Saccharomyces cerevisiae S288C: one gene and its partners. Each later gene encodes a partner of the first gene's protein in a complex. Each region holds a gene or a part of one and is shown in the gene's direction. Other genes may lie near its edges. The genes, in order: IES3, IES5, IES1 and ARP4.

Region 1 (7,186 bases):
TTTTAGAAATTTGAATAACCAGCTCAGAGATATTACTGACAAAAAACTTGTAATGGCACTGTTTTAGCAAGTTTAAGATAAATGTATCCATTAAGAAAGCATTGATTTTATTCGGACCATAATAGGTAGTCACTATTAGAATATCTAAAAGTTCTAGACCAATACCATCTAATTTGTGCTTATTCAATGCGTTGGTCATAAAATTTCTTATTACAGGCTTGATGAAATCCATTATCACATTTAATTTCAACTTGTCCTTTAAATGGTAGTATAAGTTAGGAAAGTCCTGATAGAACTTCCCCTCAGTAACCGTGTAAGAATTCTTGTTGTCCTTATTGTCATCGAAACGACTATTCAACCAGGTAACGTTTTTCGTCAAATTGATGAAAATAGACCGGGATAGAGTTTCCTGCTCTTCGTTGTTACAACATTTCCTTATTGCTAGATACAATGAGTTGTTCGCATACTGACTGAAAAATCCGGCTTCGTCTAGTTCGCTATAGTGATATAAACATCTCTTGTATATTGGAAGACGAAAATCGTTCGGTATCCCAAACCAATATAAGTTATGCTTACTTATCACCAACAGCAGGTCCGTCTCATCGCCAGATGTATGACAACTTCTCAAATTGCTCCAAAACTTTTCCAATTTTAGTTCTCTTCGAAATAAGTTTCTATTTTGAAACTTTAAATTTAAGATGTTCCTCTTTGTTTCCGATTTAATGAGGTTTTGTATGGATGGATCAGTATGAGTGCACAAGGTTTCATCGTTATTATTGGCAATTAATGATAACGATTCTTTTTCACTATTGATTTTCCTTTTATTTTCCTGAATCAAAGAATCTACACTCAAATTTTTTTGTGGTCTAATGACTAATGAAGATGATCCTGATGAGTTCCTGTTGTTGTTTGGAGTAAACAAACCATCAGAAAACACAGAAGACGCAGAAGAAGATGAAGAAGAGTACATCGTTGATCTGTGATTCGGCGAAGGGGCCACAGGACTCCCCTGAGAGTTTGCTCGAGGAATGGCAAAGTTGTCTATTATGGGGACAGCATAACTAATGAGATTAGTATCTTTATCTATTGTTGTGTCCAGAATTGTTGTCCAATCTGTGGTCCCGGAATGTAGGGCCTCTTCTTTCAAATCGTTTCTTGTTATTCTATGCCTGCTATGGAATAGCCGCTGACTGGGTGGTACGTACTCGTGCATGATATTATTAACCATGAGTTGTAGCTGTTTTGTTATATCCAAAGAATTTGGCTAACGTATCCTTGTACGCGTGATTTATTTATATATACGTGCAGCACAATATATATATATATATATATGTATGCGTGCGCTTGGTTATGGCTCAGTAAAGCGAAAGTAACGGAATAAGCGAGGGAAGGGGGATCTAGCGATGAGGGAATGGCAGTAACAGACTGTTCCCTTACAATACACTCTTGCTAAATTACATCAAGGATAATATACTATTTTAAAACAAAAACCAGCCATTTCCCTAAGGACGCGAAACTTTTGTGACGCGTTTCAAATAAAAAAGAATACTGCAAAACGCAGCACAATAATTAGATAAAACTAGTGGCATATGTCACTAATTAACTATATAGTCACTAATACTGTATATATAGCCGACACAGGCTACACAAAACACAAACGCAAAGGAATTAGGAATGTAGGTAGGTACACCGAGGCTAACTGACACTTCTGGGTCATGGACAAGCTTGTTTTTAGCACATCGTAAGGAATGTAACCACGCTTGAAAATAACAACGATACATATCAAGGTAGTTAGAGAGGCATTCCAGCCATAGATACGCAACCACTTTTTCAATCTGCTATTTGTATTAACTTGTAATTCGCTTGAATTCCAGAATTTATTGACGAAATAGACGAAAAGGGGTAGTTGCAGAACTAGCTCAAGGACTACAAACCAGTATAGCCATTCTGGTTTCTCTGATAGCAGGAAATCGTGTTGCTTTGCGATGTGATCACTAACAACCTTTTGCGCAATCCCTAGTTGCCATTTAGCGGGAATAACCACTGATGAGTCGATGAATATGGTGATGGGAATGTGAACGATGAAGTACCACAAGTAGAATTGTTGCTCACGATGTCCTAGCTTCATTATCTCCGGTCGCTTTTCTCTATATGTTTTCACGTGAGTGGCTCGTTTCTCGTACTTATTTGCTGCGGTTGTTCCTTTTATACCTACTAATTCGTATCCTGTACAAAAGCCGATAATTCTTTACTATGTTTTCAAAGGTTTTTTTTTTTTAAACGATATGCAAATTATTAATTCTTTTGAATATTTCTATGTAATCTAAACCACTTTACAATATACTATATGGAATACGTGGCGAAGAAAATTCCATTATCTCACCTCCGCTTCTTTCTCATCTCTTTCATTTTCTTGTAATGTGCCTTCCTACCGCTCGTAGATTTCTCCTGAATTTCGTTGTATTTACGCTTGAAATACTTATTAGAAGCTTCATCACCCATGAGTGTTTCCAAAATAGTCGACTTTCTTTCCTTCCTGTTCATACGACTACTATAAAACTCACTCTTGTCTTCAATTATGGTACCAATAGCAAACCTCTCTGGCACCTCCCAACGTTGCTTCTTATAATGTCTCTTTGGATCAAGAGCAGCTCTATGTTTAATCAGCAATAAATCTCGTTGAACTTCACGACGCATGTTATCATCTGGCTTTGGTAAGGTAAACCAGTCATTATCGTTTTTGTCGCTCTTGTTGGGTTTTCTTTTATCTTCTGTCTCCACACTAGGCAAGACGTTCTTCTTCTTCTTCTTGTTTGCTAAAGCATCAAATCCGGTTTCTAACTTAGGAAGCTTCTTAAGATTAGTTTCGATCTCTTGAAATTTACTTTCAATTTCTACTTCATCATCATTATTGCCTATCTGCAAAACATCCTCTTGTTGAAGAGAAACTTGTTCCTTCGCTGAATTTTTTACTTCTAGACTGGCACTAGCATCTCTTAGTGCTCCAAATAAGTCTTCCACACTTTGATCCATGTTTAACAGCTCCTTTCTCACGTCCTCTTTAATTGGAAAACTTGACGTCTCATCGCATTTTCTATTTCTTTTCTATCTTCTGTTTTAATATGCTGAAAAATTTTTAGGCCGGCACTAACCACGAATTATGATAAAAGAGAAGGATGTTTAGAGAAAAGGTTTTCGTGTGAAAGGGGGAATTGCGTTGTTAACTGACATAGCTGTCTTCAATGGAATCATAACAATGAAGTTCGAAGACCTCTTGGCAACCAATAAACAGGTGCAGTTTGCTCATGCAGCTACTCAACATTACAAAAGTGTCAAAACTCCAGATTTCTTGGAGAAAGACCCACATCACAAAAAATTTCATAACGCAGATGGCTTGAATCAACAAGGTTCTTCGACCCCATCTACAGCTACCGATGCAAATGCCGCCTCAACTGCTTCCACTCACACAAACACCACGACATTCAAAAGACACATTGTTGCCGTGGATGACATATCGAAAATGAACTATGAAATGATAAAGAATTCTCCAGGGAATGTAATAACGAACGCTAACCAAGATGAGATAGATATAAGCACCCTCAAGACAAGGTTGTACAAGGACAATCTTTACGCTATGAATGACAACTTTTTACAAGCTGTCAATGACCAAATTGTAACATTAAATGCAGCGGAGCAGGACCAAGAAACTGAGGACCCTGACTTATCAGATGATGAAAAAATTGATATACTGACCAAAATCCAAGAGAACTTGCTTGAAGAGTACCAAAAACTTTCACAGAAAGAAAGAAAGTGGTTTATATTGAAAGAACTACTGTTGGATGCAAATGTAGAACTCGATTTGTTCAGTAATCGTGGCAGGAAGGCAAGCCATCCAATCGCATTCGGAGCAGTAGCCATACCAACGAACGTCAATGCGAATTCACTAGCATTTAACAGAACCAAGAGAAGAAAAATTAATAAGAACGGCCTTTTGGAAAACATTCTTTAAGCCAAGATTAACATAAGACAAGTTTGCAAAATCCCCAACTTCACTTCCATATGCATATTCATTTAGGTATATATCGTATATTTGAGAAAAATTCATATATGAAACGTTATTAAAACATGAAAAATAGAATGTGTTATCGGGCTTAACTATATTCTGCCATTCAATGCGTGTTTCTTGACCATCTCTCGCACTACCTCTGACGGTACATAGAATGGGTTATGCTTCTTTGTCTTTTTCGTGTGCTCATATTGTCTTTGGTTCTCGAACTCAACCTCCTGGGTTAAATTTATATTAAAGAACAAGAAATCCTCTATGCTATCATTATTATCTTGAGATTCCATCTCAAATAGTTCAGAAAATCCGGTGTTCCCGAGGTCATCGTATTGCAATTTTTGTTTGTCTACCTCATTACTCAAATTGCTATTGGAGGTGCTTTTGATAGCATCACTACATTTATTATGAAGCATATCCATTAACTCCGTCCTGAGTTGTTCCGACGTGTGTCAACAAAAGGATTTACTAAGAATGTTGTATTTTGAGTTTTAAAAGGACGTGCATATGCACATACATATATATATACATATATGCGTATTTATCATCACTCCGTGCTGTTTAGAAGCTGCACATATTATGCATCTATCGCGATAGTATTGTGAGTTGGAGATAAAGATTTAATCATTTGTGCAACAACCGCTTTCTACTGTAGGCATAGAATTTCGCGCATCCCACCCCTTATTAACAATCACATTTTTTTTTTTTAATATTAATGACTCCGGTGGTCGTGATTGTAATCTTGATAACAATCGCGATCATGATCACGTTCTTTAGCCTCATTATCGAACAGTACTGGAGGTGAATAGGCACACCGTTTATCTAAAAGTTCCATGATCGTGGATTGGTCCCTCAAGATGGAATCATACGTATCTACACCACCGTATCTACTAGTGGTAAATCTCAAAATATCCCCAGTGTTGCCACGGTTCAAAACATCAATGTGGTCCAGTAATAGCTCATACGGATTCGTTCGTGGACGAGGCAGTGCTCCTCTATGAATATTGAACCGATGTTTAATTTTCCACATCTGAGATTCTAATTCAGAATAGTTTCGACGTCTTGCGTCCAATTCTGATTGCGTCCTTGGTTTAACTTCGTAATATAATTGTCTATGTAAGTCTTGGTATTCTTTGGCGAACATAAAGTGATTTGACCTTAATTGCAACTCCAAGCTGCTTGTAGTATATGGTCTTTTCATATCATTTGATTTATCCTTACTCGACCTTTTAATAGAAAACCTCCTGATGAAGTGTGGCACAGCAACCACTCCAAATTTTTCTAGAGGCTTTGTGGGCTTTGTTGAGCTTCTTTTGTCAATTCCAAGGCAAGAAAAGTCGTCTTCATCGGCCAAATATTCATCTTCAAATGTATGTATCGTATCATCAGGCAAGTGTTTATCATCGTAGCCTGTATCTGCTTTAGTTGGAGATTTTACTCGTTTTTGACCACCAGATGTATTTGCGTCGCAATTGCTAATGTATTCTGCACCTAAATACAACTTTTCTAAGTCCGCTGGTAAAGCTGGATCATTGACACCCAGTGGACTTGTCATCGTGAATCGTTGTGTTAAACTAATGAAAGAACCTTCCTTTACATTTTTGTCCACTCTGTTTTTGCCTTTATCTTGATCCTCGTTATCACCATCGGTAAAATCTTGGCCGCTATTAATTCCTGAAGCAACGTTAATACCACCACCAATCCTGCTGTCCAACATCGACAAGGCATGCTCACACCTTCCACCATTTATTGATAGCCCACTTAGTGTCAGTAACCTCGTATAGAATCCATATAGGAAATTTAAATTTGAACACGAAACACCATACTTTTTGGCCAAAATGATGGGCTGATGCAAAAGAATTTGAGCAGGATATTCAAATCGGTGGTAGAAACAATAAGGCTCAAACGGTAAGGATAAATATTCCGGATGTTCGTTTGCCGTAGAGTTGATAAGTTGCAGTTTTTTACCTTTGCAATATTCTACGATTTTCCCAAAATTAATCTCTTCTTCACCTTGTGATTTTACTAGCAAAAACCTTGCAATTTTGCTTCCACATTGTGCAAAGCAAATTCCAAGTAACTCTTTCACCAGATCTTTAAAAATAATTTCTGTGGATTTGTTTTCTAACATTTTCTCATAATCAAATTGTTCATAGATGATAGAAAGGATGTTAAGTGAGATTTTAGGAATAAGCAATTCCCACATTTTCAATGCCATTTGTTTTGGGTCCAAAATTAATTTAGATTTCATCCATTTCGCAACGGTCAATCCAAGAAGGAACCTGCGAACATTTGAACCCTTAATCCCTTGCAATTCTAACGAAGCTGCTTTCGTGTTTTCCAGAATGGTTGGACTTGCTTCAAAATTAGCATCACAATAAGTTAATCCCAAAGTTATTACACATTGATCGTCGTTGACCAATGCATATGATCCAAGCGATAACTGTCTGCATTCAACCTCACACGAAATGGAAATAACACACTTGCACTTCCCTCCAAAATAACTTATGGCTATGGGCTCCAGTTCGCAACCAAAATCAGTGCTAATAAGCACAGTCGTATTGTCGTTCGTGTAATCTGACAACAATCGACAAGTTGTTTCGAAAGACTGTAAGGAAATTGCAGACACTAACACAATGTCAATTGAATACGTATTTGCACCGTTATGTTTTAATTTGTGGTGCAGCTCTTTAATATCCTTAGTGAGAATGTTTGGCGTGTAGAAATTGGCGCCTAGTTTTGTCGATTTCCAGGCAACTAACTCGTCACTAGACACATATTGCGAGACCAGTATTATAAAAGAGTTGCTCAAACTTAGTCTCCATCCTAGAAATTGTGCTGCTGGTGTTTCTCCAACTGTAAAAAAAAGGAAATTTAAATTTACATTTATATGTTAGTAAATTTTTGTTCGAATGTCTGTTTTCTTAAACTTCTTTGCCATACCTATTAAGCACGTTAATTGGTTTTCTTCCATAACTAATGCGAGTTCTTGCCTTCAAAAAAAGAAAGAAAGGCTTAGGAATACAATTTGAACTAGTATTTGTATCGTGCGTCTATGTGCTTTTGTTAATATGAAGCGTATTATTAACTCCATTCATTTTACTTTTCATTCAAATTTTGATAGTA
Region 2 (6,814 bases), on another chromosome or scaffold:
GTGGTGGTGCTATTGGTTATATTTCTTATGACTGTGTTCGTTATTTCGAGCCAAAAACAAGAAGGCCTTTGAAAGATGTCCTAAGACTTCCAGAGGCATATTTAATGCTTTGTGATACCATTATTGCCTTTGATAATGTTTTTCAGAGATTTCAAATCATTCATAACATTAATACCAATGAAACTTCGTTGGAGGAAGGTTACCAAGCTGCAGCACAAATAATCACTGATATCGTATCAAAGCTAACCGACGATTCCTCGCCAATACCATATCCAGAACAACCTCCTATTAAATTGAATCAAACTTTTGAATCGAATGTGGGCAAGGAAGGTTACGAAAATCACGTCTCCACTTTGAAGAAGCATATTAAGAAAGGTGATATTATTCAAGGTGTGCCATCGCAAAGAGTGGCAAGGCCAACTTCGTTACATCCTTTCAATATTTACAGACATTTACGTACAGTGAACCCATCTCCTTACCTGTTTTATATTGATTGTTTGGATTTCCAAATCATTGGTGCATCTCCAGAATTGTTGTGCAAATCGGATTCCAAAAATAGAGTCATTACCCATCCAATTGCTGGTACTGTCAAACGTGGGGCTACTACTGAAGAGGATGATGCTTTAGCGGACCAATTACGTGGCTCGTTAAAAGACCGTGCAGAACATGTTATGCTGGTAGATTTAGCAAGAAACGATATTAACAGAATTTGTGACCCATTAACAACAAGTGTCGATAAACTGTTAACTATTCAAAAATTTTCTCATGTCCAACATCTGGTTTCTCAAGTCAGCGGTGTTCTCCGCCCAGAAAAGACAAGATTTGATGCATTCAGATCGATTTTCCCTGCAGGTACTGTCAGTGGTGCTCCAAAGGTTAGAGCCATGGAATTGATTGCCGAACTAGAAGGAGAAAGGCGTGGGGTTTATGCAGGCGCCGTAGGTCATTGGTCATACGACGGTAAAACAATGGACAATTGTATCGCTTTAAGGACTATGGTCTATAAAGATGGCATTGCTTACTTGCAAGCTGGCGGTGGTATTGTTTACGATTCAGATGAGTACGATGAATATGTCGAAACCATGAATAAAATGATGGCCAATCACAGTACTATTGTGCAAGCAGAAGAATTGTGGGCCGATATCGTAGGATCAGCTTAAAAAGGGCATTCTCTGTTTTTTTCCCCTTAGACGACATTTTTATAGTTTTCGAATAATATGATATAATGATGTATAGCAGGATCCTGAAAAGTATTATTCTTTCGACATATACATTTGGTCCGACTTACAACCAAAAAATTTTTGTTCAAAAAATATAGGAAATTTTAGAAAACGAATGTTGAATGCGTTATAAATAATACAGAATGTACGTGTATATAAAAATATAATAAAAAAAATGCAAGAGTTATGGCTTTGTAATAAAATTGATATCAAAAAATTACCCAAATAAACTTTTAAATGTGAACACAAAAATTAAATCACCGATGTTGAATCCCAGAATAAAAAACAAAAAGTTCAGAAAATATCATTACTTTGCTTCCTTTTTAAAACCTTAATTCTTGTATTGTTCACGGAAGTACTTGGCGGCTTCGACCATATGAGTCAAAGACAATCTAGTTTCTTCCCAGCCTCTAGTCTTCAAACCACAATCTGGGTTAACCCAGAACTTTTCAGCTGGGTAGCTCTTCAAGATGGTTGAAATCTTGGCGATAAATTCATCCTTTGATGGAATTCTTGGAGAATGAATATCGAATAAACCTAGACCAATGTGGTTTGGATAGTTTTTGAATTCAGCAATGTAGTTAGCATCGTCCTTCTTAGAGAATTCGATGGAAACAACATCAGCATCCAAAGCCTTGATATGGTTTGGATCCAAGTCAGAGTAACAGAAATGAGAGTGTATTTGAGTCTTGTTAGCAACACCAGAAGTAGCAACTCTGAAAGCTTCGGCAGCCCAGGTGTAGTAAGCAGATCTCTCAGTACCTTCTCTCAATGGTAAACCTTCTCTTAAAGCTGGTTCATCAACTTGGATAACCTTGATACCGGCAGCTTCCAAATCATTGACTTCATCTCTCAAAGCCAAAGCTAATTGCATAGCTTGAGTTTTTTGGTCGACATCGTCTCTTGGGAAAGACCATCTCAAACAGGTAATTGGACCAGTCAACATACCCTTTACTGGCTTAGAAGTGATGGATTGAGCGTAAACAGATTCCTTGACGGACATAGCCTTTGGTCTGGACAAGTCACCAACAATAATTGGTGGTCTGACATATCTGGAACCGTAAGATTGAACCCAACCGTTAACAGTGAAAGCATAACCGTTGATTTGTTCACCGAAGTATTGAACCATATCGTTTCTTTCTGGTTCACCGTGGACTAAGACATCCAAACCAATTTCTTCTTGGAATCTGATGACCTTTTCAATTTCAGAATTGATGAATTTTTCATATTCTTCAGCAGAGATGGTGCCCTTGTTGAATTTGTTTCTGTTAATTCTGATGTCCTTGGTTTGAGGGAAGGAACCAATAGTTGTTGTTGGGAACAATGGCAAGTTGAAGACTTTTTGTTGTTCAGGCAATCTTTGTTCAAATGGAGCTGCTCTAGTAGACATTTTTTCGTCGATAGAGGCAACTCTGGCCTTAACGGCAGCATCGTGGATAAACTTGGATTTACCTCTGGATTCAACAGATTTAGCGTTAGCTTCTAGGGCAGCAGCAACGTCTTGACCGGAAACGTTCTTGGTGATCACAACAACTTCATCCAATTTTTGAGTGGCGAAAGAGAAAAAGCCCTTGATTTCAGCGTCCAACTTGGTTTCGTTGTTCAAATCAACTGGTGTGTGCAATAGAGAAGAAGAAGTGGCAACAACGACTCTGTCAGCACCCAACTTTTCAATAGCCTTGTTAACGATAGCGGAAGACTTCTTGAAATCATTCTTCCAAATGTTTCTACCATCAACAATACCAACGGACAAGGTTTGTTTGTTACCAATGGCGGCAACGACTTCATCAAATTGTTCTGGAGCTCTAACAAAGTCAACGTGTAAGGCAGCAACTGGCAAGCCCTTGATGGCGTCTAAGTTAGGGACAACGGTACCGAAGTAAGTAGCCAAAGTAATCTTTGGTAGATTGCTTTGTTCACCGAAGTAAGTGTAAGCCTTCTTAATGGCGGCTTGGGCGTTGGCAGGCAAGTCCAAAACTAAGACAGGTTCGTCAATTTGAACTTCAGTGGCACCAGCAGAAGCCAATTTAGATAGGATTTCAGTGTATAGAGGCAACAATTGTTCCAATAGGGACAATGGTTCCAAATCTAGAGAATCCTTGTCAGCCTTACCCAAGAATAAGTAAGAAACTGGACCCAACAAGACAGGTCTAGTATGAATACCTAACTCCTTGGCTTCCAAAAATTCGTCAACTGGCTTTTGGCCGTTCAACTTAAATTGAGTGGTCTTGGAGAAAGTTGGTCTAACGTAATGGTAGTTAGAGTCGAACCATTTAACCATTTCCAAAGCAGTGACGTCGACAGCCTTTTCAGTTTCAGTGGCCTTTCTTTGTAAACCTCTACCCATAGCAAACAAAGTGTCGATTGGAGATAGATCGTACTTAGTGTAACGGTCTGGAATGACATTGAACAACAAAGACAAATCCAAAACTTGGTCGTAAAAGGAGAAGTCATTGGATGGGATGATATCAACACCAGCCTCCTTTTGCAACTTCCAGTTTTGAGTTCTCAAATCCTTACCGACCTTGAATAATTCATCGACAGTGATTTTACCGTTCCAGTAACCTTCAGTGGCCTTCTTTAATTCTCTGTTTGGACCGATTCTTGGGAACCCTAAGACAGCAGATTGAACCATTTTTGATATGTACTTTGAAATTATATTGGTATTTTGTTTCTTAGAGTGTTGTCAATGCTCTTAGATGCTTGCTTTTTTATGATAAAGGAAGAGTTTAACAAAAATATTGAATACGTAAAAGAGAAACTAATGCTAGTAAAGATGGAAATATCTATCACTTATATAGAATTTTTTTTTCTTTCCTTTTTTTCTTTCGCAGTTGGGAAAACTAGCTAGCTTCCCTTAAATTAGTGCATCTATCGCATTTGTTCCATATTCACATTCACAGTTCTCAATTGAGCAGAACGAGCTATGACTACCACAGTTTTGCGACCGGGAGATAGAGCGAAAGAGCTGCCATGACTGCGATGACTCTAGCGAAAAATATTGGCCTTTTGCACGTTCGCGACTAAACGAGTTCGATAGTAGTCCCGTTTCTGGTTTTTTCCCTTTACCGGCCCACATTTTTTCACCTGACTCCGGTCCTGACGTACGACTCTGTTTGTAAGTCACGTGAAATATTTCCTGTGGCTTTTACTAGTAATGTGCACGTGATGTGGCGTGATGGTCCTTTACCCGGAGTGCGGGACCCTGGTTCATGAAAAATTGTGTGAAATCAACTGCATTTTTGGAAGCGAAAAAGATGATGAACCTGAGTTGAATGGCTGTGGGAAACCAATACTTGACTGATTATAAAACAAGAAAAAAATGCCTAGTAAAGATCCAGAGAGCGTTATAGACAAAGAAATACGGAAGATATCAGCAAGAAATGATGAGCTTATCAAACAGGATGGGACTCTAAAAAGGGAATACACTACATTATTGAGAAAAGTATCGAGCGTGATAACGGTACTGAACAGTATTGATGATGCAGATACTGGTTCTGCTGAAACGGAACTCCCACGCTTAATATCTCAAGCAACAGTAGAGAAAGTACCCGAATTGAAGTGGTACAATGATCAGATATCACTGATTACAGAAAAGTTGGAGGACGATGAAGATATTGAGGTTCCCGAGGAGCTAATGGATGCTTATACTCTGTACAAGGAAACCCCATTATTATATAATGATACGCACACACCATAACGGTTTTGTATGCTGTGGTGTAGGGAAGTGCCTGGGTCTATGGAATATTGTGACTATATACATTTATACATGCGGCCCTTTTTTGCTCTAACGTGTAAAATTAGCCGGCCTTTTGTCCCTTTTGTTGTCGTGCCTGATGACATTTTCAAGCGCTCTATTGTTAATAAATAGTCCGCAAAGAAACTTCCTAACATGTGGCTTAAACCGATACTTCGACATCATATTAAATACTTTGAAGAACATTTTCTCGTTTTCAAAAAGCCTTGGACCGTATTTATTGTTTATTTCTGTAATCTCCTTCACTGCGTGATTTGAAAGGATATGATTGCCTAGCTGACTTACTATATGTAGTACCTTGCTCTCGATGGAGTCATCGTCATTGCGGTATTGTGTAACATAGGGAGAAGAAAGGCCTTCGTTTGCGAAAAGACTACTATTTTCACCTGAAACAGTGATAGTTTGACTTGTGATATCGTTGTCGTATTTATTAGTAATGATTTTTTCATTTAATGGATTCTCTGCGGTATCTTTCTCTTTGAGTAGTTTGTCCAAATCAAATTCGATGGGTAAGCATTTTTCTATCAAGTCGCCATCGCTTTTATTAAAAACAATCATCTCATCAGAATACTCGCCAAATGCGGACCATTTGTGTTCGTTATACGATAGAAATCTATCGAGCCTATTTGGTAGTGCGATCCCGATAGGCTCATCTTGTACACTGACACAACAGTTCCATCCCATCTCGTCTAGAATTTCGCAACCCTCGCGGGTCATGCTGATTAATCCCAGAACATAAAATGCTGTAAACCTAACGCTGGTTACGCTGGCATTGTAGGCCACCTCGATAATATCTTCCACCAATGAGTAGTTATCTAGTAGACCTATCCCCAATTCTGTGGATCCGATAAACCCAACACACCATAATGCTGCTTTTAAGTCGAGAATTTCTTTGGCATTTTCTACTGTGGCCATATTGTTTCCGTTGACGTATTTTTTTATAACGTTCATGAAAGTAACCAAATCTCCTGTTTGGCTTAATAGTAATATTCCGTCTTCTGTTTTCGTTAGACTTTCATAAAAATGCAATGGCAGGCGACTCTTTTGTTGAAATGTGAGGGATTTTGCATTAATTGATTCATTTTTCTTCAGGAATTCCTCCACAATATGAACATACTCAATGTTTTTTTTAGATAACCACGAATCCCTTTCCTCCTTCACAAAATTGATTTCGTTCAACAACTGGAACCCGTATGGGCGGCTTAATAACTCGAAAAGTATTGGAGACCTAATGAATACCATTTGGTTTAAAAACATCCTAAATGAGGTGCCCAGCTCTTCAGAGCCATTGCCCGCGACAATACATTCATATAAAGCTTGGTCTGCTACGGCGACTACGCTGGGGCTCAGGTCGTATAGTTGCCTTGTTAACATTTCCATTTTGAATTGCTGCAGTTTCACTTTATTCGCTTTTAACTTAAGATCACTTTCTTTCGTGGATAACAGTTCTTTTAGTTTATCGCCTATATGCTTTGTAGCCTCAATCCTAACTTTCTCATTGGCCACTACAAGGGCCTTGCCGATAATGACGCGGCAATGTGATGAATATTTCAAATCTAATTCTGGTATTGTTAATAATAGAAACTCAAGCCCCAGTTTCGATTCAAATTGAAACATCTTATAGATTACGGTAAAAAAATTCCACCTCGTTAGGATATGAACCCCATTCTTTGACTGCGTCAATATTCCGATGAATTTGAAGTATCCAAATATTATTTTTTCTCGTAGTTTATTCTTGTTGAAGATGTTGCCTGATATATTTCCCTCCATTGCTCTAAACATTAAAGACGCCAGTTGCGGTATAATTTTTGTATCATCCATAAGGATTTTCATTCCT
Region 3 (8,245 bases), on another chromosome or scaffold:
AAATAATTACAGCCAGTAAGCTGTTGCAGTGACTGGATAACGATTCCCATTATTACCCTTGGTAGAATTGCTCCTTTATTTGAGAAGAGTTCGTGCCAACTGGCATTTCCAACAGCCCTTTCTAATTCCATATTTGCAACTATAGTATCAAACTCAAAAACAACGCCTGGATCAGTAACTGTGACCTTGTTTGATTTGGCCAAAGACCTTCTAGCTTCTTCATACTTACCTTTTTCTACTAAATATCTGGGCGATTCCGGAACCATAACCATTCCAATCACCATAAAGATTGCCCACGCAAAACACAAACCCAAGGGAACCCGCCACTGTATTGAATTTGAATATTTCTTTGTACCATAATTGGTACAGTAGCCCAAGAAAATTCCAAGGGTAATCATTAGCTGGTAAAAAGAGACACAAGTGCCTCTTAGGTGCTTTGGGGAAATTTCTGAGATCAAAGTTGGCGACAGCACAGCAACACCTCCAACACCCATTCCAGAAACAATTCTACCAATAAAATATTGATACCATTTGTCAGAGGAAGCAATCTGGATCACGATACCAACAACATACACCAGTATAACACACATTAAGCCGATTTTACGCCCATAAATATCGCCCAGGCGTCCCAGCGTTAGGCCACCTAAAGCACAACCTATGTTGAAGATACCGACAATTAGCCCTGTCCTGACATCTGATAGTTGAAAACTGCCGTCCCTTTGTAACTCACCAAACCTTCTCTTGAAATCTGTTTGGTTAATAAACCCTGAAATGGTTCCTGTATCCCAACCAAAAATGAATCCACCAAAGGCAATCATCAGACAGAGACCCATCACCGTCCAGTATGCAATAATGGGTTTGTATGGAATGTCCAAGCTAGCTTCCCTTGTTTCAGGGGTTAGTTTAATTTCATCCTTTCTACTTAGAGAAGTGGATGCCTTGGCGCTAGTCCCCAAAATGGAAACACTTGAACTAACCATCCTCGCTGTTATTTTTTTGTTATATCGATCAACTATATTATTATTAATTATTTATTGTATTTTTATTACGAGAAAGAAATAGTTTTAGATAGATAAACCGTCATTGAGGCGCAGAGCGTACCAACACATTTCTTGTGTCCTTATATAACAATTCCTTCTGATTGGAAAACATGTAGGAACAAACATAAAGAGAATAATTTCACTGGTATAATTCATTTCTGTGTAATAACCCTAACCCAACGGCTACGCCATATCTTTCATAATCAGTCAACTGAGTGTACCCCACATCCGAAACAAAGTATATAACCTTAAAAGTGTCGAAAATAGGTGTCAAATATCGATGAGCACACAAAACCTAGTAGCGGAATTACGACGTCCGTCATTTTCTTAGCGTCGACAAATTTTGATTATACAAAAACAATTCTGAATACTTTGTTAAAAAATACATCCGCTCGATTCAGGGGAGTACAAAAAATAAAAGAAGGCAACTGACAACCCTTGTCAGTCGATAATACAGCGATTAGACTTCTTTCCTTCCTTTTCTACTATAGCTAGCTATAAAGAGCTTGTTTAACAACATATTCAACGCGTTCCGGAGCCGATGAGATGAGGATTGATGACAGTATATGATTTGATAGCGTCACAATAACAGCATCATCACTATAAAGAAACAAAACGAAAAAGGAAACTTAGAGCATTATAGAAAATTAGCTAGTTAATGAAAAATTAAAAATTGAGATTGGTCCTATCATGGCAAGCAAGCTTCCTCTCGTAGTCGCCATCCAGACAGCCGAAATTGATGATACAACGACTGTTTATTTGCGTATGGGATTTCGTGTATACTTCAATGAAAGAAAAAAAAAAAAATATAATAAAACTAATGGTTTTGCAATTTGAAGGGTAAGTTTTTACTGCATATGGCCAAAAAAACTTTTGACTTTTTCATATGTCTATCAAATTATCCATAAGACCATTGCTCATCGAAAGAGATTTCATTTCTTCTCGAAGGCCATTTTTTAATACTCCTTGCAGAATTTTTCCTAATCGTGCATAATCAGTTTTCGTACTTCTCCTCAATGATAACATATTCTTGGAAAGCTGCTTAATGGCGTTTACCAACAATAAATTTATAGACATATACCAAAATCTTCTTTTAGTCCACATATGAACATATTGAAGATATTCTATTGAACAACTTAAAATACTATAAACGCATTCATCTTCTTTTTCTTACTGAGAAATTTTATATTCCTAAAAATTTTGAAATGATCTGAGTTTATTTAGATCTCTTGAACATCCTACAAGAACATTTGAAGGGCAATAATCCTCATCAATACTACTCAATTGTTTTCCATGGGAAAGGATTTCGATCTCTTCCTTTAATATATGTCTTCTAAACCACTTACGTATCCTATCTGTGCTAGAAAGTTTTGTTTTATTCTTCGTATGATCTTCCAATATAAAGTTAGTGTTATTTTCCCACTTCTTGAGGTTACAAACTGGTTCTTTCACTTTCAGCTCCGGATTATTCTGCTTTCTCGTTTCATCCGTTGTTGCGGTAGGTGAATGATTTATTTCAATGACAATGTGTGATACGAGTTCCATTACTTTGATGTAGCCATCATTTTGGAAAGGTGAACTTCCATAAAAAACTGACGAGGAAGACGCAATGGTCCTTTTTGGTCGGGATTTGGGCATCTTTCTATAAGTAGCTAAATTATGGTATTTGATAGCTATATTTGCGACTTATTAGTATTTTGACATTCCATAAAATGCAAAAATTATTTACTATCCTTTTAAATTCAGTTATTATACACGTACATATTTTTTTAAACTGATGCGACAGTTTATCGAGTTTTGTGTCAGAGGACGTGAAAAAATTGCTCTAGTTGAGACCAACATGATTCAGGATGAAAAATTATCCAACGTTCGATTTTCTGGTCTACATGTCATTTGAATAAATTATTTAGCAGACGTTGGATAGAAAGGATTGAAAGATTACATAATGTTATTTCAAAAAAGAGAGAATTGAAATATGCTGGCTGACCTTTACCGAAAACAAGAAGATGAACAGAAGGAAAACCTGAGAGTCGATTGATGTCTCAAAAGACCACTACTGTTATGACACAAAACAATTTAACGACTCTTGATGTAAAGGAACTAAAGCAACACTTTTCTTAACCAAGCCAGTATATATTTTGCAGTATCAGAAATAATCAGACTTTTTTTTTTCTTAGCCCATATTAAGACAATTCTGTAGCATATCGTGTACAACGAAAAACAGGTTACCCTCGAATGCGGTAACGGTACAAGTAAGTAAAGAACGCCCAATGAATGCTGATATGGTATTGGAAACAGTTCATGATTAACTAAGTAAAATCGAAAGCTAAATAAAGGCGACACTCTAATTAAAGATGGGGAAGAGAGTATACGATCCAATTCATGATACTTTCCAACTACGAGAAGACAATTCTGACGAAACAAAAGCAGATTCTCCAATGCAATCTGTAAAATCGGGATCACAAGAAGAAGCATCCCCAAGCTCCATTCAATCAGAGACCGAGACTGTGACTACAAAAAGCATTCCAGTTATACACGAGATTGAAATCGACGATAAAAATGATGATGACTCCACGCAAAGTGAAGAAGAAAATACCAACATCTTGCTCAACTTCGAACCTTCTACAGTGCCTGAAGCAACAGGAGCAAGTACGGCAACGGGGCCAGTGACAACTAACACTGTTAGAAGGAAACCCAAAGAAAGCAATGCCAGTAAATACAATCGTCATTTGAAGAAACCTGACGGCGAGCCATTCAATAGAAAGGACATTCAGTTCAGTTTCATGCAAGAACTGTTGATGGACAAGAGGCAAATCTTCACTAATGTTCTAAAACCCCTATACAAGAACTCTATTGTACCCATTAATATCGATGGCGATAAATTATCAATCAACGTGACCGACAAAGAGTACGATGCAAGGACATTTGTATTTAACGATAAATTGACGTTCGCACAATTGTATGTGTTGACAATAGCCACTTCTATCAAATGTTCCAAAATTCTCAGAGATAAACTATTATTAGACCAACAAGTAGCATTTTCTACTTGTGTTTTAGCGTTATTGGTCAACATTGGTAGGTTGAACACCACTATAAATTTTTATTTAGAAATGACATCGCAATTGAGAACTTTTCACTCCGTGCCAGTTTTACAATTACATGCCAATGATCCGAAACTTTTGCAGGATACACCTAGACTGAAATCTATTCTGAAAAATCTGCCGTGGGGCAATGAGCAACTCTCATTGATGGAGACTTACAAAAAGGTCGACCAAAATGATGGTGAAGTGGACACCGTTAACAAATTTAACATTATTAATATGTTGTTTAGCATATGTGATAATTCCGGCCTAATTGACAAGAGGTTTCTTTCCAAGTATGTGGAAGTCGAATCGAAAGCTCAGGAGCAAGATATGGTAGATGAACAGAATGAAGTAAAAGAAACGGAAGCGGAAAATGAAAAACAAGAATCAAAAGCAGCTTATGCAACAACATTATTTGATATACTGGACTATTCGAAATACGAGCCAAAGGATAGATCAAACATATTGATTTGGCTGCTATATATTCATTTGGAGACAAACTTAAGCCAGGAGGAGGTCGAAGAATCAGTAAGATTTTTCAATGGATTGGAAGATGGTGCACCTGCTGGAAAGTTCATTTTAAGGTGTACGGAACGCAGTTACGACACGGATCCTGAAGATGAATTAGAGTTCGGAGCCAACCAACGCATCAAGAGAAGAGAATTCATGAGTAAGATGGAGGAGGGTAGGAAGCGCGAGCGTACCAATGTTACAGAGGTGAAAAAGCCCAGTATCGGTGGTGACAAGAGTGAAGAGGACGGTGAAGGGGAAGATGACAAGAGCGAGGAGACTGTAGAGGAGACTAGATCACTTTTGACGCCTACGCCCATACTGGAATCTTCTTCACCCATGACATTGAACAGGAAAAAAGTCACACCACAACTGCCCAAAGTAACGCCAGCAGCACCAACAGAAACAGAAGAAGAAATCACCTCCGCTGCTATCATTGACAAAAACGATTTAAATCTAACACCATTGAAAAAATACAATAGTTCGGCTACGGTAAACAAGGTCGACAAGCTAATATCGCTAGATCTGAACAAGCATGTGTCAGAAAATGGTAAGACACAAGAGGAGTTTCTCGCCGATTTGAAAAAATCCCAGGTGCCAAACAGGTTGAAAAGACGCGATATTGGGTTAATCAAGATATTCAATGAATTTGAAGACATCCCCGTAGCGTCAGTGCTTGGGATTCGCGGTAAAAAGAGAAAGAAATTCAAAGATAATTTGCTTGGATTTGAGACGGATTTCATGAAAAATCTCGGCGCTTCAAAGAAAGTACTTTTAAATAAAATCGAACGCGCGGAAATTGATGACGAAGAAGCAACCGCCATGTTTAAGCTGGAGTGAAATAGAACAATACGCACACACACACACACACACATACATACATTTAAGAACATTTTGTAAAGAAAGAGAATTTTTTTTTTTAAAAAAACAGCTAATTTTTAAACTGAACTAGAGTATATGCGTACTTAAGTTTATATATTCCACCTCGATTTAAGCGTTTTTTTTTTAGAATTTTTTTATTACTCTGCTATTCATTGAATATAATATTAAGGAACATCACACATCATAAAGAAAAAACCATGTAACTACAAAGAGTTCCGAAAGATTTACTTCTTGGTTGGGTCTTCTTCACCGTGGACACGACCGGAAACATATTCGACGGCATCGTTCAACTTGGACTTGGCGGCTCCCATGTAATCTCTAGCTTGGTCTGCCAAAGATTCACCTTGACCTTCAGCGTTATCCTTGCCTTTTTCGGCAGAGTCGTGGACACCTTGGAAGACACCCTTGTTGTCTTCTGGTTGAACCTTACCAGCGACCTTGTCGGCCTTGTCAGTGATGTATTCCTTACCTTGTTCAGCGTATGACTTTTGAGAGTCTGGCTTCAAAGCTTCAGAAGCTTTTTCACCGAATCCTTTTCTACCTGCGTCAGACATTGTTGTATTTAGTTTTTTTTGTTTTGAGTTGTTTGTTTGAGATTATCGAATAATCAGATGGTTTTTTTTTCTATATATTAGAGAGAGATTAAATAAGATCAAACGCAATTGAGGAAGTAGAACGCAATTCACCGTCCTATTTATACGTTTTAATATAGATTTAGAGAAAGACCTTTCAGATCAAGAGGGGGACGACCGGAACCTCAAAGTTGACCAAACGATTTTCCAGGGGCTGTAGATCTAGTTACTCTCCGTCTAGAGTGCTTCTGGTCTGTGTTTGTGGGTTGTATTAATGCTTGCGTATACCTTTCCTTCTTTCAATTTCTACGTCAATGGGTTTTTTTCCTTCCTTTTCCTTTTCCTTTTCCTTTTCCCCTCTTTACTACGTTTCTATGTTATTTTGTGCCGCCCCCTGCAAGTTGCAACATATCCCCTTAACAGATGCCAGCAATATTCTAGTCTTGCTATTTTTACCGCCTCTGGCTTTTGGCTTCTAGTCCTTGTCCCAAGAGCCAAGGGCCCGTCAACACGTCGTCATTGCTACCGCCAGCTGGCACCCACACATCACCGACCCTTTTTTTCCATTTTCGGCTGGGCCGTTAGTGGGATCCGCCCGCTCCCGGAGATTTTCACTTGGATTTGCGCGTCCCCTTTTTTTCTTCATTCTCTGACTCCCCCTACCTTCTCCCACTTTTCTGTGTATCAAGAGGAAAAGAAGGAGAAAAGGAGAACTCCGAAAAATACCGAACAAGAGGGTAACAGAATGTGCATTTGGATGAGCGGGTAACAGATGGAAGTACGCTCCAAAAGAAGGGTAATATGTTCTGCTTTTTTTTATCATTATTTTTCTTTACATCCTGTGGAACTCTATGGAAAAGTAAGGAACTTGCAGCGCGAAATAACGTTCTGACTGATAAAAATTAAGGAATGAGGCATATAACGAACAAATCGCACTCCACCTGGACAAAAAAAAAAAAAGAGAGAGAAGTCCTATATCATACTCTAAACATAACATAACAATGGCTTTCCAACAAGGTGTATTGTCAAGGTGTTCCGGTGTCTTTAGACACCATGTGGGACATTCTCGCCATATCAATAATATTCTTTATAGACATGCCATCGCGTTTGCATCCATCGCTCCACGAATACCAAAATCTAGCTTCCATACTTCTGCAATCAGAAACAACGAAGCATTCAAGGACCCGTACGATACTTTAGGCTTGAAGAAATCTGCTACAGGTGCGGAAATCAAAAAAGCATACTACAAACTGGCAAAGAAGTACCACCCGGATATCAACAAGGAACCGGATGCTGAGAAGAAATTCCACGATTTACAGAACGCTTATGAAATTCTGTCAGACGAAACGAAGAGGCAGCAGTACGATCAATTTGGGCCCGCTGCCTTCGGCGGCGGCGGTGCCGCTGGAGGTGCCGGTGGTGGTAGTGGCTCTCCCTTTGGTTCCCAATTTCATGATTTCTCAGGATTCACCAGTGCAGGCGGCTCGCCATTTGGCGGTATCAATTTTGAAGACCTGTTTGGTGCTGCATTTGGTGGTGGTGGCCGCGGTAGCGGTGGCGCAAGCAGGTCGTCATCTATGTTCAGACAATATAGGGGCGACCCAATCGAGATTGTCCATAAAGTGTCTTTCAAGGACGCAGTGTTTGGGTCCAAGAACGTTCAGTTAAGATTCTCTGCGCTGGACCCTTGTAGTACCTGTTCAGGGACGGGAATGAAACCAAACACGCATAAGGTCAGTTGTAGCACTTGTCACGGAACAGGAACCACTGTTCACATTAGGGGCGGATTTCAGATGATGTCGACTTGTCCTACTTGCAACGGTGAAGGTACCATGAAACGGCCTCAGGACAATTGTACCAAGTGCCATGGTGAGGGTGTTCAGGTCAACAGGGCAAAGACAATTACGGTGGACTTGCCACATGGATTACAGGACGGCGACGTGGTCAGGATCCCTGGCCAAGGCTCATACCCTGACATCGCTGTAGAGGCGGACTTGAAAGATTCAGTCAAGTTATCAAGAGGTGATATTTTGGTGAGAATTCGTGTCGACAAGGATCCCAACTTTTCGATAAAGAACAAGTACGATATTTGGTACGACAAGGAGATTCCTATAACCACAGCTGCACTTGGTGGTACTGTCACTATCCCCACTGTGGA
Region 4 (7,929 bases), on another chromosome or scaffold:
TATTGCTGCTACCGCTGAAGAACATCCTCAGTTGGAGAAAAAGCCAACTCCATTGCCATCTTTGAAGGATCTTCCTTCTTTGGGTTCAAATGCTGCCTTCGCGAACGTTAAGGTTAGCTGGGGCCCAAACATGAAACCTGCTGTCTCTAACTCGCCATCACCTTCCCCTTCTGCTCCTTCATTGACTACTGGCCTTGGGGCCAAGAGGATGCGTTCAAAGAACATCCAAGAGGCTTTCACTTTGGACCTGCAATCTCAGTTGTCAATCACCAAACCTGAATTATCTCGTATTGTCCAATCTGTTAAGAAAAATCATGATGTTTCTGTTGAATCAACTCTTTCTAAGAATGCTCGTACCTTTTTGGTTTCTGGTGTAGCTGCTAACGTTCATGAAGCAAAGAGAGAGTTAGTGAAGAAATTAACAAAACCAATCAATGCTGTCATCGAGGTCCCATCCAAATGTAAAGCCAGTATTATCGGTTCAGGTGGTAGAACTATTCGTGAAATTAGTGATGCCTACGAAGTTAAAATCAATGTCTCAAAGGAAGTCAATGAAAACTCATATGATGAAGACATGGATGATACTACAAGTAACGTTTCTTTATTTGGTGATTTTGAATCGGTCAACTTGGCTAAGGCTAAAATCTTGGCCATTGTTAAGGAAGAAACCAAGAATGCCACAATCAAATTAGTCGTTGAAGATGAAAAATACCTACCATACATTGATGTTTCCGAGTTTGCCTCCGATGAGGGTGATGAAGAGGTCAAAGTCCAATTCTATAAAAAATCGGGTGATATTGTCATATTGGGTCCTCGTGAAAAAGCAAAAGCCACGAAGACATCTATTCAAGATTATTTGAAAAAATTAGCTTCTAATTTGGACGAAGAAAAGGTCAAGATTCCATCCAAGTTCCAGTTTTTGATTGATGCAGAAGAACTAAAAGAAAAATACAATGTCATTGTCACTTTCCCATCAACTCCTGATGATGAGCTTGTGTCATTTGTCGGTTTGCGCGATAAGGTTGGTGAAGCTATCACCTATGCCAGATCGTCTTCAAAGAGCTATGTGGTTGAATCTTTAGATATTTCCAAGGCTCATAGTAAGAATCTGACCCATGCCAAAAATCTAATCATGTATTTCACCAAGTACTCCGTTTTAAAGGGTCTTGAAGAATCTCATCCTAATGTTAAAATATCTTTACCATCCATACAGTCATTGCCAACAGCTGAAACTGTTACCATCCACATCAGCGCAAAATCTGATGAGGCAAACGATATCAAGGCCGTTCGTAAAGAATTGATTTCTTTTGTGAACAATATTCCACCTTCCGAAACCCTGGTTATCACAGATTTGGATTACGAGTTGTTCGGCGGGTCTATTAAACATTGTTTATTAGCTTCCGAAAGCAGCGTTGCCTTTGTTCAATTCGGTGATTATTATCCAAATGATAACAGTATTTTACTTGTTGCTTTAACTGAAGATGAAGATTTCAAGCCATCTATTGAAGAGATTCAAGCATCTTTGAACAAGGCCAATGAGTCATTAAACTCTCTACGTACTAAACAAAACAACATGGAGACTAAAACTTACGAATTTTCCGAGGAGGTTCAAGACTCATTGTTTAAACCATCTTCCGCTACATGGAAATTGATTATGGAGGACATTTCTGAACAAGAAGGCCACCTTCAAATTAAACTACATACCCCTGAAGAAAATCAGTTAACTGTTAGAGGTGATGAAAAAGCTGCCAAAGCTGCTAACAAAATTTTTGAATCTATTTTGAATTCTCCATCGAGCAAAAGCAAAATGACTGTTAATATTCCAGCCAACTCAGTTGCCAGATTAATTGGTAACAAGGGCTCCAACCTACAACAAATTCGTGAGAAGTTTGCCTGCCAAATTGATATTCCAAACGAAGAGAACAATAATGCTTCGAAAGATAAGACTGTCGAAGTTACTTTGACTGGTTTAGAATACAACTTGACTCATGCCAAGAAATATTTGGCTGCCGAAGCCAAAAAATGGGCTGATATCATCACAAAGGAACTAATTGTTCCAGTTAAGTTTCATGGTAGTCTGATTGGTCCACACGGTACTTATCGTAACCGTTTGCAGGAAAAATACAATGTCTTCATTAACTTCCCAAGAGACAATGAAATTGTCACCATTAGAGGCCCTTCTCGTGGTGTCAATAAAGCTCATGAAGAATTGAAAGCTCTGTTAGATTTTGAAATGGAGAACGGACATAAGATGGTTATTAATGTTCCAGCTGAGCACGTCCCAAGAATTATCGGTAAGAATGGTGACAATATCAACGACATCAGAGCTGAATACGGTGTTGAGATGGATTTCTTACAAAAGAGCACCGATCCAAAGGCTCAGGAAACTGGTGAGGTTGAACTGGAGATCACTGGTTCTAGACAAAACATAAAAGATGCCGCCAAACGTGTGGAATCCATTGTTGCCGAAGCCTCCGATTTTGTCACTGAAGTCTTGAAAATTGATCACAAATACCATAAGTCAATTGTTGGTAGCGGTGGTCATATTTTAAGAGAAATTATCTCCAAGGCTGGTGGTGAAGAAATTAGAAATAAGTCTGTTGATATTCCTAACGCAGACTCCGAAAATAAAGACATTACCGTACAAGGTCCTCAAAAGTTTGTCAAAAAGGTTGTCGAGGAAATTAACAAGATTGTCAAGGATGCTGAAAATAGTGTTACTAAGACCATTGATATTCCAGCAGAAAGAAAGGGTGCTTTGATTGGCCCTGGTGGGATTGTTCGTCGTCAACTAGAATCCGAATTTAACATTAACTTATTCGTTCCTAATAAGGATGACCCTAGCGGCAAAATAACTATTACCGGTGCACCAGAAAATGTCGAGAAAGCTGAGAAGAAAATCTTGAATGAAATAATCAGGGAAAATTTTGACCGAGAAGTCGATGTTCCTGCCTCCATTTATGAATATGTTTCAGAACGTGGTGCTTTCATACAAAAGTTGAGAATGGATTTATCCGTCAATGTAAGATTTGGTAACACCTCAAAGAAGGCTAACAAATTAGCTCGTGCTCCAATCGAAATTCCTCTAGAGAAAGTCTGTGGATCTACCGAAGGCGAAAATGCAGAAAAGACTAAATTTACCATCGAAGAAGTCGGTGCACCAACTTCTTCCGAGGAAGGTGATATTACCATGAGGTTGACATATGAACCAATTGATTTGAGTAGCATTCTCTCTGACGGTGAAGAAAAGGAAGTCACAAAGGACACTTCAAACGATTCCGCTAAGAAGGAAGAAGCTCTCGATACTGCTGTTAAGTTGATTAAAGAAAGAATTGCCAAGGCACCATCTGCTACATATGCCGGTTACGTCTGGGGTGCTGATACCAGAAGATTCAATATGATTGTTGGCCCAGGTGGTTCTAACATCAAAAAGATTAGAGAAGCGGCCGACGTTATCATCAACGTCCCAAGGAAGTCTGACAAAGTCAATGATGTTGTGTACATTAGAGGTACCAAAGCTGGTGTCGAAAAGGCCGGTGAAATGGTTTTGAAATCCTTAAGAAGATAGACAAGCTCTTTGAAACCAATTTTTTTCAATATAGATTTTGGCTTTTACTTACTTATATAATCCATTAATATCTACGATGTGTACGTTTTTAAAATAGTTAGATTACATTAGTTTTTCTTTGAAAAGTTCCCATTTAAAGCTATTTTGAAGTTGAAGTAACACGAACATAAGAAATGGAGAAGACGACGAAACAGCGAGAAGAAAAAAAAGAAAACAAGATGTACAGAAAACCAAGGATTTTAGGCAAAAAAAGAGTCTTCGTTATAAGGCGGTGAAAAGCATAACTATGTCCAATGCTGCTTTGCAAGTTTATGGCGGCGACGAAGTTTCCGCAGTAGTCATTGATCCTGGCTCATACACAACAAATATTGGCTATTCGGGTTCTGACTTCCCTCAATCAATTCTGCCCTCTGTTTACGGTAAATACACTGCAGATGAAGGCAATAAGAAAATATTTTCTGAACAATCAATTGGAATTCCAAGAAAAGATTATGAACTGAAACCTATTATCGAGAACGGTCTAGTCATAGACTGGGATACCGCACAAGAACAGTGGCAATGGGCATTGCAGAACGAACTCTATTTGAATTCCAACTCCGGAATACCAGCTCTGTTAACTGAGCCCGTTTGGAATAGCACAGAAAACAGGAAAAAATCTTTAGAAGTGCTCTTAGAAGGCATGCAATTTGAAGCCTGTTACTTAGCACCCACATCGACATGCGTTTCTTTTGCAGCAGGTAGACCCAATTGTTTGGTTGTTGATATTGGACATGATACTTGCAGCGTCAGTCCAATAGTGGATGGTATGACATTATCAAAGAGTACAAGAAGAAATTTTATTGCTGGGAAATTTATCAATCACTTGATTAAAAAGGCATTGGAACCCAAAGAAATCATACCACTTTTCGCAATCAAGCAAAGAAAACCAGAGTTTATAAAAAAAACATTCGACTATGAGGTTGATAAATCGCTGTATGATTACGCCAATAACCGAGGGTTCTTTCAAGAGTGCAAAGAAACACTTTGTCATATATGCCCAACAAAAACTTTGGAAGAAACGAAAACAGAATTAAGTTCTACGGCTAAAAGATCTATTGAAAGTCCTTGGAATGAGGAGATTGTTTTTGACAACGAAACTCGTTACGGCTTTGCTGAAGAGCTTTTCCTTCCAAAAGAAGATGACATCCCAGCAAATTGGCCTCGCTCGAACTCTGGAGTTGTGAAAACTTGGCGGAATGATTACGTGCCGCTAAAAAGAACCAAGCCAAGCGGAGTGAACAAATCAGACAAGAAAGTTACACCAACTGAAGAAAAGGAACAGGAAGCTGTAAGCAAATCTACTTCTCCGGCTGCAAATAGTGCAGACACTCCAAATGAAACCGGTAAGAGACCGTTAGAAGAAGAAAAGCCTCCTAAAGAAAATAATGAATTGATTGGTCTAGCGGATCTTGTTTATTCGTCTATAATGAGCAGTGATGTGGATCTAAGAGCGACACTAGCTCATAATGTTGTCCTTACAGGCGGTACATCCTCTATTCCTGGATTAAGTGATAGGTTAATGACAGAACTAAACAAAATACTACCATCCCTTAAATTTAGAATATTAACAACAGGGCACACTATCGAAAGGCAATACCAGTCATGGCTTGGCGGTAGTATACTTACAAGTCTGGGAACATTTCACCAACTGTGGGTTGGGAAAAAGGAATACGAAGAGGTGGGCGTCGAAAGATTGCTTAACGATAGGTTTAGATAGGAATAGAAAACGTTGTTGAATGACAAGTCGCCTTTCAGTTTAGCAGTTTGAGCGACCATTCATCTACTCGATCAATATCTCAGTGATAAATAAATTGTCTTGATTCTACTATAACCCTTTTGTAAAATAAAAAAAATTTCTACGATGGACCGGTTTTGTTTCCTAGGGAGTAATGAACTTGGCCTATAACTAAGAAGGAGGTTCAAAAATTTAAATATGTTCATTTTTAAAATCATAACACTATATATATCGACACCGTAGAACTAACTACTCGGGAAACCCATTGCGTAAAAATATAAAAAAACTATGAAACGTCACGAAAAAATGATGGTTGTAATAACTGCTAGCAAGGGAAGGTAAGTAGTCGAAAGAAAAAAAAAAATGCATACTTCTAAAATGTTGGGGCGGAAGAAGCAAAAGGTTAAGCAAGCGCGTTTTCAACTCTATCAAGGGCGGCTTTGATCTTCATACCGATACGCGTACTCAATTCGTAATCGGCGGCATAATTTTGGGCTCTTAGCAGCCATTCCCTACATTCATTCAAACTTTCCATGCCACCCAGTTTCCAACAGAATAAAGCTCTCTCATAAAGAGCGGCTGGATATGCCCATGGGTCTTCGGTTTTTTTGAAATATTTGACTTTGCCATTTTGAATGTAGAATATTTTTGGCAGAACAATGTCATCTAACAAGGCTAAACCTCTTTCAGCATCCCCCAATCTTCTTAAGGTCAAGGATAGTAGTAAGTTTCTGATCAGCTCTTGATCTGGGTCTTCCGAATCAATGGCGGGGTTGTGATACTCTGTCAACATCTTTTTGGTCAAAATTAAATCGTTTTCAGTCATCCTGTTGTAACCGTTGTAGAAATAAGCCAGTTCATGGACAGGTGATGTTGCTATTGAGTCTAGTGGTTCTTGTAGGTTTAATTTCTTCTGCATATTATTAAATTGTTGAACTTTTCTAAGCATGAATCTATCCAATGGAAGATTTTTGGATTTGAACGTTTTCTTACCTAACAAAGATGGAGCGTCAAATATGAGTTCTCGAGCCCGCTCTTTATAGAATTGTTCTTTACCGTCATTTAATAAGCCTAATTGTGTCATCCTCCAATTTTCCAAGTAACAGCAACCCGCAAAATAAGTGTACAATGCGTGAGACCAATCACTAATATCAAGCAAACTTATTAAATCATCGGCAGCTCTGTTGTATTCGTGTAAGTTGACTAAAAGGATCGCACGTTCAAACACCATCAACGATTTCACTTGTCTCATACGGATACTATTGACATCAATAGAGTCCATTAGGGCCAGAGAATCACGAAGCCTGCCCTTTCCAGCAAGCATTTTGGCCTCATTTAGCAGCCACAGGGCACTATTAGGAAAAAGTGCTCTTGCTTTTAGTAATGCGTCCTCCAGAATTTTTCCAGGATGCAATAAGGTTGCACTGTCCATATAACCTGGTAAAAGGCTACTATCGTTTGTTCTGCTTTTGTTTAAAGCCCTCGATCCATTATCGTTTGGTGGTATATCAAAGTCAGCATCTGTAAATTGGAAAGGACCGTCGTAATAAAACATCAGACCTAACAAACCTATACACCCGTGAACATTTCTCTCCTTTGTAGCCTTCCAAACTAGCCTCAAACCTTCTTCACGGGATCCCTTGAATCCAACAATAGATAGCACAGCACCGATTGCAGGTGGAAGTAAGGATAAGACGACTTGCAAGATACCATAGCATAAATTAGCACCTGAATGGATGAATTCGTCGATGGTAGCCTGTTCTAAATCGAAATCATCTGAAACAGAATGGCGGTCGGAAGCTTGAGACGGAGTCGTCTGTAAACCCAAATCATCCCTTAACCTATGAAAAGATGGAGTATTGCCAATATGGGCACCTGATAACCTTCCCATTCTCATCGTGTAGATTTTTTCAGCAAATTCCAATAGGAGTGGATTGGACTTGTCCTCGGAAGACAATTTGTATGGTATATCAACCGATATGAAAGTTGTCTCTGCAGAAACAAAACTTCCGCATGACTCTTGGCTCTTTTCGCTTGGAGAGGGAGAGCTCGAATTTTTCGATCGTTCAGCTTTTTTGACAGTAACCATGATATCTTGTAACATTGTATAAGCCCTCCTTAACTTTAGCAAAGCCTTGGCTGCTTCCATCATGCTTTCACTAAATAACATCAACAAGGCATGCAACAGACATGACTCAGTATATGTTACAGCATAGACAGTACCGGGAGGATATATTGAACTGCTCCTAAAATTGGTCTTTTCAGCATTTTGCTTACTTTTCCAGGACATTTGCTCAGCTTTGCCTAAAGTAATTGCAGCTCTTTTCATTTCTTCAGTTTCAAAACTCAAAGTGGCTTGAAGAAATTCAATAACACCTCTTGCCAAAGTCAAGATAGTTTGATCTGAACCAGTTTCCATTTCAGCTTTTTTCAGCAAATTCAACCCTTCATCCGTTCTATCATCAAGGACAAAATCCATTGCCTTTAAGGCGATCTCAAAGTCATTAGCCTGCTTCAGAACCTGTTTTGTCTTTGTTGATTGCTCTTCACCAGAAGATTGATTACCCTTTGATCCAAATGAACCAAA

What was found.
Region 2: IES3 (region 1) and IES5 share a complex: the UniProt entries of both Saccharomyces cerevisiae proteins name them as parts of the chromatin-remodeling INO80 complex.
Region 3: IES3 (region 1) and IES1 share a complex: the UniProt entries of both Saccharomyces cerevisiae proteins name them as parts of the chromatin-remodeling INO80 complex.
Region 4: IES3 (region 1) and ARP4 share a complex: the UniProt entries of both Saccharomyces cerevisiae proteins name them as parts of the chromatin-remodeling INO80 complex.

What each region holds. Positions count from the first base shown.
Region 1 is NC_001144.5:243,945-251,130, forward strand, and holds IES3 (Ies3p), read left to right. Parts: upstream 1-3,256; coding exon 3,257-4,009; downstream 4,010-7,186. Other genes in the region: MLO50 (Mlo50p), read right to left, coding at 1-1,228; EMA19 (Ema19p), read right to left, coding at 1,643-2,128; FCF2 (Fcf2p), read right to left, coding at 2,380-3,033; NRS1 (Nrs1p), read right to left, coding at 4,156-4,482; OSW2 (Osw2p), read right to left, coding at 4,773-6,916, 7,004-7,034. UniProt on the Saccharomyces cerevisiae protein: Probably involved in transcription regulation via its interaction with the INO80 complex, a chromatin-remodeling complex.
Region 2 is NC_001137.3:338,313-345,126, forward strand, and holds IES5 (Ies5p), read left to right. Parts: upstream 1-4,542; coding exon 4,543-4,920; downstream 4,921-6,814. Other genes in the region: anthranilate synthase TRP2, read left to right, coding at 1-1,160; MET6 (5-methyltetrahydropteroyltriglutamate-homocysteine S-methyltransferase), read right to left, coding at 1,552-3,855; TORC2 complex subunit TSC11, read right to left, coding at 5,008-6,814.
Region 3 is NC_001138.5:105,080-113,324, reverse strand, and holds IES1 (Ies1p), read left to right. Parts: upstream 1-3,394; coding exon 3,395-5,473; downstream 5,474-8,245. Other genes in the region: hexose transporter HXT10, read right to left, coding at 1-980; YFL012W (uncharacterized protein), read right to left, coding at 2,232-2,678; lipid-binding protein HSP12, read right to left, coding at 5,740-6,069; YFL015C (uncharacterized protein), read left to right, coding at 6,362-6,856; MDJ1 (Mdj1p), read left to right, coding at 7,089-8,245. UniProt on the Saccharomyces cerevisiae protein: Probably involved in transcription regulation via its interaction with the INO80 complex, a chromatin-remodeling complex.
Region 4 is NC_001142.9:281,197-289,125, reverse strand, and holds ARP4 (Arp4p), read left to right. Parts: upstream 1-3,854; coding exon 3,855-5,324; downstream 5,325-7,929. Other genes in the region: SCP160 (Scp160p), read left to right, coding at 1-3,568; IML2 (Iml2p), read right to left, coding at 5,746-7,929. UniProt on the Saccharomyces cerevisiae protein: Chromatin interaction component of the NuA4 histone acetyltransferase complex which is involved in transcriptional activation of selected genes principally by acetylation of nucleosomal histone H4 and H2A. The NuA4 complex is also involved in DNA repair.